2 linked regions of the Schizosaccharomyces pombe genome follow. The protein of the gene in region 1 interacts with the protein of each later gene in a biochemical or structural test. Each region holds a gene or a part of one and is shown on either strand. Other genes may lie near its edges.

Evidence for each region.
Region 2: the proteins of atg38 (region 1) and atg8 form a complex in vitro, tested with the Schizosaccharomyces pombe proteins (one study listed by BioGRID).

The regions. Positions count from the first base shown.
Region 1 is NC_003423.3:207,716-211,959, forward strand, and holds atg38 (protein Atg38), read left to right. Parts: upstream 1-2,043; 5' UTR 2,044-2,086; coding exon 2,087-2,110; exon of another isoform or gene 2,111-2,206; coding exon 2,207-3,457; downstream 3,458-4,244. Other genes in the region: alpha,alpha-trehalase Ntp1, read left to right, coding at 1-1,570; protein mug168, read left to right, coding at 3,796-4,143. UniProt on the Schizosaccharomyces pombe protein: Functions as a part of the autophagy-specific VPS34 PI3-kinase complex I that plays a role in autophagosome assembly. This complex is essential to recruit the atg8-phosphatidylinositol conjugate and the atg12-atg5 conjugate to the pre-autophagosomal structure.
Region 2 is NC_003423.3:3,683,661-3,687,186, forward strand, and holds atg8 (autophagy-associated protein Atg8), read right to left. Parts: upstream 1,711-3,526; 5' UTR 1,606-1,710; coding exon 1,572-1,605; exon of another isoform or gene 1,491-1,571; coding exon 1,435-1,490; exon of another isoform or gene 1,269-1,434; coding exon 993-1,268; 3' UTR 621-992; downstream 1-620. Other genes in the region: rnf10 (ubiquitin-protein ligase E3), read left to right, coding at 1-422; cyclophilin family peptidyl-prolyl cis-trans isomerase Cyp4, read left to right, coding at 2,241-2,703, 2,797-2,939; SPOM_SPBP8B7.26 (uncharacterized protein), read left to right, coding at 3,464-3,526. UniProt on the Schizosaccharomyces pombe protein: Ubiquitin-like modifier involved in autophagosome formation. With atg4, mediates the delivery of the autophagosomes to the vacuole via the microtubule cytoskeleton.

The sequences.
Region 1 (4,244 bases):
ACAAGAGATGTATGAATACTATGTTCGCGCTGCTAAGGAAAGGCCTTACTTGAATTTACAGGTCGAATATCTGCCGGAAGAGATTACTCCAGAATGGGTGAGAGATGTAAATGATAAGCCAGGGTTACTTGCACTTGCAATGGAAAAATACCAAGATGATGAAGGCAATACACATCTTCGAGGTGTGCCATTTGTCGTTCCTGGTGGCCGGTTTAATGAACTGTACGGCTGGGACTCTTACTTTGAATCACTGGGTTTGCTTGTTGACGATCGGGTTGACTTGGCGAAAGGTATGGTGGAGAATTTTATTTTTGAAATTACCTATTACGGTAAGATCTTGAATGCCAACCGCACTTATTATCTTCTTCGCTCCCAGCCTCCATTTTTGACCGATATGGCCCTTCGAGTTTATGAACGTATAAAAAACGAAGAAGGATCTTTAGACTTTTTGCATCGGGCCTTTTCTGCGACTATAAAAGAATATCACACTGTTTGGACTGCCACTCCACGACTGGATCCCAAAACTGGTCTTTCCCGCTATCGCCCTGGAGGACTCGGTATTCCTCCGGAAACTGAAGCTTCTCATTTTGAGCATTTGCTTCGTCCTTACATGGAGAAGTATCATATGACTCTTGAGGAGTTTACTCATGCATACAATTACCAACAAATTCATGAACCCGCGTTGGATGAGTATTTCGTGCACGACCGCGCAGTTCGCGAAAGCGGGCATGATACTACTTATCGGTTGGAAAAAGTTTGTGCTGACTTGGCCACCGTGGATCTGAACTCGTTGCTATACAAATATGAAACCGACATCTCACATGTGATTTTAGAATATTTCGATGACAAGTTTGTACTTCCAAACGGAACTATAGAAACTTCTGCCATTTGGGATCGTCGTGCTCGTGCTCGTCGTGCTGCAATGGAAAAGTATCTTTGGTCAGAAGCTGATTCGATGTGGTATGATTACAACACGAAGTTAGAAACGAAGAGTACTTATGAAAGTGCTACTGCTTTCTGGGCCTTGTGGGCCGGTGTGGCAACTCCCCGTCAAGCCGCAAAATTTGTTGATGTTAGTCTTCCCAAGTTTGAAGTTGCTGGAGGTATAGTTGCTGGTACAAAGAGAAGCTTGGGTAAAGTGGGTCTTGATAATCCCAGCCGTCAATGGGATTATCCTAATGGCTGGAGCCCTCAGCAGATTTTAGCTTGGTATGGATTGATTCGATACGGATATGAAGAGGAGACTCGTAGACTTGTATATCGTTGGCTATATACTATTACTAAATCGTTTGTTGATTTTAATGGTATTGTTGTTGAAAAATATGATTTGACCAGACCAGTTGATCCACATCGTGTTGAAGCTGAGTATGGTAATCAGGGTGTCAATATCAAAGGCGTTGCTCGCGAAGGTTTTGGATGGGTTAATGCCAGTTACGAAGTCGGCCTTACATTCTGTAATTCGCATATGCGTCGGGCTCTTGGTGCTTGTACGACTCCTGATGTTTTCTTTGCCGGCATCAAGGAAGAATCTCTTCCTGCTTTCGAAAACCTTTCCATTCATAAAAATTAAGTTATCGTTTGCTTGAAAAAAATAATCGACTTTGTCTACTTTTTTAGTTGCCTTTAGCTTTATTCTCTTATTATGTTATTTTGGTTATCGACCGGTTAAAACCCATTGTTATGTTACATGTTATACCTTCCATTAAATCCTTCTACTATGAAGGTTCTATTTGGCGAATATTCCCTTACGAAACAATAGTTAATTCTATTTAAATTTATGAGTAAAGCTTATCACCAGCGATATTATTACTTTTTTACTTAAAAGAAAGAAGTAGTAAATGAATTTTTTACCTTACGATTCAATTCTAATTTATAATTTCCATGATAGTACTGTTGTTGCAGTTTTAGTCCGAATATAACTCTAATGTTTAATTTGGTGTCTATCACTTTATTAGTTTTTTTTTTGAAGGAATTGTCTTCTAGAAACTTATTTTGAGTTAATGTACCGTATTATGTCGTTCACATTTGTAGACAACATAAGTTGGCCACTTCCTTACACAACAACAGTATATTATTAAAATGTGTTATGGTTCGATATTCATTAAGAAAGGTAAGAGATGCTTAAAGAGATAAGGATATGAGTAAATTTAGTGTTTGAAGTTCGTAATTATCGTTCGCTTTTGAATGTGAATGTTAACAAAATTAGGCGCATGAATACGCCCGAGATGGGGAAAATCAGGAAGTTTTGGGAGAAATTTCACAAGCAATTATGTATTATGGATTAGCAAAAAGTCAGTTTGAAAAGATATGTCAGAACACAGCTCAGCCTCTTATTAAAAGATGCGCAAATAACCAAATCGAAGAGTTGATGGTTCGTATACGCGAGTTACGAGAATCATTGCCAAACAAACAAACACCAATATCAATGTCAATGTCTACGAGATTATCACCTATGTATACTTCTTCATTAACTCCACGATTTACGTCCAATTCAATGGTTTTACCAGGTGATCATAATACTACTGTTCGACTAAAACCAAGCTTTCGTGAAGCTTTAATGGAAGATTCTGAGGACGATTTATATCAAATGTATTCTAAATTCGAAATGCAGGTTAAAAAGCTGTCAACCAACTATGGACTTGCAGTTGCTTTTTCCATCGTTCCCATGGATGATGATCAGCCATCACCAAGCATATTTAGCTCCGATGAGAGTTTTTTGATCGTAGAAGGTGATGATTTTTCTCTTGGTAACAGCGTTGAAGAAGATGCCAATGCAACAAGCAAAGAAGATCCTGCCTATCAGAATACGAACGAGCAGATTCAACCGCTATCGAATTTCGATATAAGTCAACAAGAATATTTAAATAATACAAGGATTCCATATGAAAACGAGGATTTACATTTACAACACATTACTCAAGGAACTACAGATGATAACAATGTATCCAAGTTTCTTATTCCTTCATACAATGATGCTAAGGAATTATCTGAAGAGGAGATGGGAAGAAGTCATAAAAGGGAAGAATCATTTAAAAGAGCATTTGGTCACGCATCAAGTAGCGAAAGTAGTATTGGAGAGATTACGGATTCTAGGGAGGATATTCAGTCAAACCGTCTTGTTAACGGCTCTTGGGAAAATAATGATTTTACTAAGGAAATAAACAATAACTTCCCTGATAGATCTGAAACGCCAACGCTCCAAACAATTGAAGCTCCGACCAAACTCATGAAATATACCAGACGCAAAAGTCTGTTTCGGTTTCCATTTTTTCGTTCAATATCTGGAAAGAAAAAAGAGGAGCCTATGGAGTCCGGAACTGATTCACTTGAATCATCTACGGCACAGATTACGGTCGATTCTCAATTGAAAATCAAACAGCTTGAAACACAAATCGCAACTTTACAAAAGCAACTGGAGCAATTTCAAACCAGTACTCTCGATCAAGATCTTCACTAAATGTCATTACTCGATTTACTTATTAATTCTTTAAAGAAACGGCAACTGATCGAAAATCAGTTTTCAAAGCAATACATTATGTTGTCTCTGCAAAATTCTGTATGTTTCGTTAAATTGTGCCTTAGTTTTCCTTTTGAAGAGAAATGCATGGGGAGGCAAAATTACGATGACATGGTCTGTGGCGAGCCATCCTTAATGGAATCAATACTTATTTTGGCTTAGATATGTTCTCTGCGCATACCATTATATTTGGGATTTTACTTTCTCTTTTTACCACCTGAAGTTCTGAAATAAATTTTTACGTGCTTCTATAACTGAATTCGACTACGAAAACTAGGATGAGGATGGATGGCTCTGATTTTGAAGATCGAAAAGTTAGTAAACCGAGCCCGGTATTACCTTTTGATGTTAGCAACATTGGTGATTTGAGTCAAGGGGTACACTCACCGTTGGGTATTTCGCATTTCGATTCCAAAAATCCAACGCCATTTGGCAGATCAACAAAAAATTCTGTTTATGAGTATGAAACAGTTACGCCATATTCAAGATTTAAAGTTGATAAGAAATTTGGATCAGCGACTTCGGTATCTCCAGTTCACACCAAAGCTGAAGAACCTGGTCTTGGTTTAACTCCGATGAATAGTGCGGATTTCTCTAACAAAATAGCTAGTAGATATAGGTCCTAAGTCTATTTGCTTGATTTCCTTAGCCCACCTCCTTTCCAATTCTGACACATTTATTGATTAATCGGGTTATTCAAGTTATATTTTGTTTTGATCGTTTTTAT
Region 2 (3,526 bases), 3.5 Mb from region 1:
CAGAAATCAGTAAACGACGCAAGCAACGTAAAGCTCAAGAAATGAGAGAAGAAAGGTATCGACAACGGGCTGAACGTGATACAGAGGAACAGATATACTCCGAGTTAAATATGCAGAGACCTGTGCCAAAAACCGTAGTGCATGAGGACCCTGCTGAAGCATTCCCCACATTGGGAAGTCATCATCAATTTGAATCTACCGATGAGGTTAATACAGATGAGTCTACCTTATCTACTGCAAAGACTGTTTGGGGAACAAGAGCTCTTGCCAATATTCAAAATGACACCGATGATCAAGACGATCTTGATGGTTGGAAAGTTGACTGGGACAAAGTTGCTCAATTATCTGCACCTTCCAAAAACTCAAAAAACAAAAAAAAGAAGAAATTAGTTTTATTATCAACAGGTGCCGCCCATCGATAAAGATGGAGCATTCTCAGTGATGAAATGCTACTGAAATTTTTGAAATGCAGGAGTGGGCTTTATTTTGAAATATAGTTATAACACTTGTTGCTTGAATTATGAAAGTTTACGATTGACCAATTTTTTGGGGCATGTGAATAGTATTCGCTATTATGACAACCAGTTAATGTAAAAAAGGATAGAATCAGCTGATGATATATATCTACTTATTATTTATCAACATTTTAATATTATTAGAAAATCAAAATCAATTTTTTTAATTGATGGTTTTTATTAATTAACAAGGTAAAATAACTTTGTTGTCAAAGCAAACTAGTCATAAGCGTTCATCACATCTATTGTAAGACAAATCTGAAACATCCTTAAAATCGTGGTGGCTAACCTGAGAATGATATGTATAAGACGCGCGTAAAATAATCATAATGCAAAAGCAAAGAAACTTGAAAGCTAAAAAGCTAGAAATGCAGAGTAAAAAAAACATAAAGAATCATTCAACCATTGTCCACAAACAATTTTGCTGATCACAATTAAAAGAAGGCGGGGCCATCTTAAAACAGGCAAATTGTTGATCTAAAAAGGAAACACTGTTCCAAATGTATTTTCTCCTGAATACGTGATATACAAAAAGCCGTCCTCACTTTTATGCTCTTCGTATATCGTTGACATCAAGGCCGCTGTCGGGGGCAAGATTTCATCAATGAAAATAAAGATGGCCTTCTCAGGAGAAAGTTTTATCCGTTTGCGAATAACATATACAAATTGACCAACTGTAAGGTCAGATGGAACGAGATATTTCTTTTTATCTATTGCAGCAATATCAGATTTATCAACTTTCTCGCAAATAACCTGTTAAGTTAGCAGTTAAGTTTAAAACGTAATTTGTATTTTTGAAAGAAAAAGGTCAGACTTGTAACAATGGATTCACTTTTGATGACAAAAACAATGGGTGTTGTTCAATTCACCACTATTTTGCTCTGAAACCTGTTCTCTTTGACCACCAGACTCTACTTACAGGTATTCGATCGGGATATTTTTCCCGGATTCTTTGAGACTCTGTTTTTCGTTTCTCTGATTATTAATTAGCCTACTAGTTCCAGGTATTCTACAATGCTGTCCAAAAAACAACTTCTATAAGTTTTTGACACATACCAAAAGAAAAGTCGTCCTTGAATTGAGAACGCATGAGAACTCTCAAACTTCTTGCTTGAAGTAGTAACTCCTCTCTTCAATTGCTTCAAAATTCGGTGTTCTTTGTAAACGGTGCGTGAGTTATGTGGTATACGGTCTTGGATAAATAAGCGTACCCTTGGGTAACGTATACAGAGATATGAAGCAATCTTATGATACTATGATAAGTTACCTTATTTCGTAATAAATAAATACTTTACGAATCTTAAGCAGTACACAATCAAAAGGAATTTTTACTACTTCTTTATAGTATGATAGCCATAATTGGTATATACTCAATCCTTGGTACAACAAAAGTCACAACTCTTTTAGGAAGAAAAGCAAGAATGGAAATAAAGACGTTGTGTAAATAAATAATAGCACGCTTAACACGTAAATACCTTCCAAAAAAGGTTAGGAAATAGAATTTTGCAAATAATTACTATTTCTATCTTTCATTAAATAATCAAACCATTAGAAAAATAGTAGTGTTTGATGTAAACAAATAAGCGCTTCTTGAATTATTTGCTTAACATTGTGCTAAAAGTTGCTACAGCAACCAAAATCTAGCGAGTCTTGCTATTAAACCCCACCATAACTATTTATTTATCCTTTACCACACAACGAAGCTTTTAGTTTGTGAAAACAAAAATGAAGTTGTTCTATTTCTCTTTACTTTTTACTCTTTTCTTTGGGCTTATCTCTGCCAACCGTGGCCCCAAAGTTACAGACACAGTGTATTTCGACTTGCAACAAGGTGATGAGTTCCTTGGAAGAGTTACCATTGGATTGTTTGGTAAAACTGTTCCCAAAACAGCCGAAAATTTCCGCGCATTAGCCACCGGAGAAAAGGGATTTGGATATGAAGGATCTATTTTCCATCGCGTTATTCCCAATTTCATGATTCAAGGTGGTGATATTACGAAGGGTGATGGTACTGGTGGAAAATCAATTTATGGCAGCCGTTTTCCTGATGAAAACTTTAAGCTTTCTCACCAACGTCCCGGTTTGCTTAGCATGGCTAACGCTGGACCCGATTCCAATGGATCTCAGTTTTTCATTACTACAGTTAAAACACCTTGGTTAGATGGACACCATGTTGTTTTTGGTGAAGGTAAGAATTCATATTGTAGTTGTATATGTTTTATAAAAGTGACTATTTGTTTTCTTTTTCCTTTTTTTTGTTTGCTAATACTAATTTTATCAGTCCTTTCTGGTTACGATATTGTCAAGAAAATTTCCAAAGCTGAGACTGACAACCGTGATAAGCCTCTTGAAGATGTAAAAATTATCAAATCTGGGCAGTTGTCTCAAGAAAATGTTGAAGATGACGGAACAGATGAATTGTAATCCCTACTTTCTATTTATGAAAGTCATCAACATCTAGTGTTTATAAGATTTACTTGAAAAGCAATGATTTTACATTCTGTTAACATAAACGTTTATCATTGGAAGGATCACTTCTTGTGGTAGTTTGTTTGCATTTTCTGACAGCCATAGTTGTATAACTAATATACGCATAAAGAATGCGATTTTAACAAGTTTTCAATTGAATGAATATAGAACTCTACGTATATTATCCAATTTAGCAAGCGTAATAGCAATGCTGCAATTCTGATAGTAAGTATTGACAACAAACGCGAAGCTTATTAGCTGCTTACTATTTTGTTATGTTTTATCAAAAAGAACTCAAAGACATTATTTTTTCCTATCAGCTGGCTGATATTACTAGCACGTTGTGTAGTTGTTTACCCTATGGGCTCTTAGAAAAGCGGACTTAAGGAATTTCGAGAGTCGGAAGCTGTCCACCGCAAACATTTGGGTAAAATCGGTTTTTGCGTCAATTGTGAGAAATCAATTTCAAACTAATCGTAATGTTTGACTCAACAAAAAAATCACTGCATTCGATGTCGGATTCTGCGAACCGCTTCCAGAAT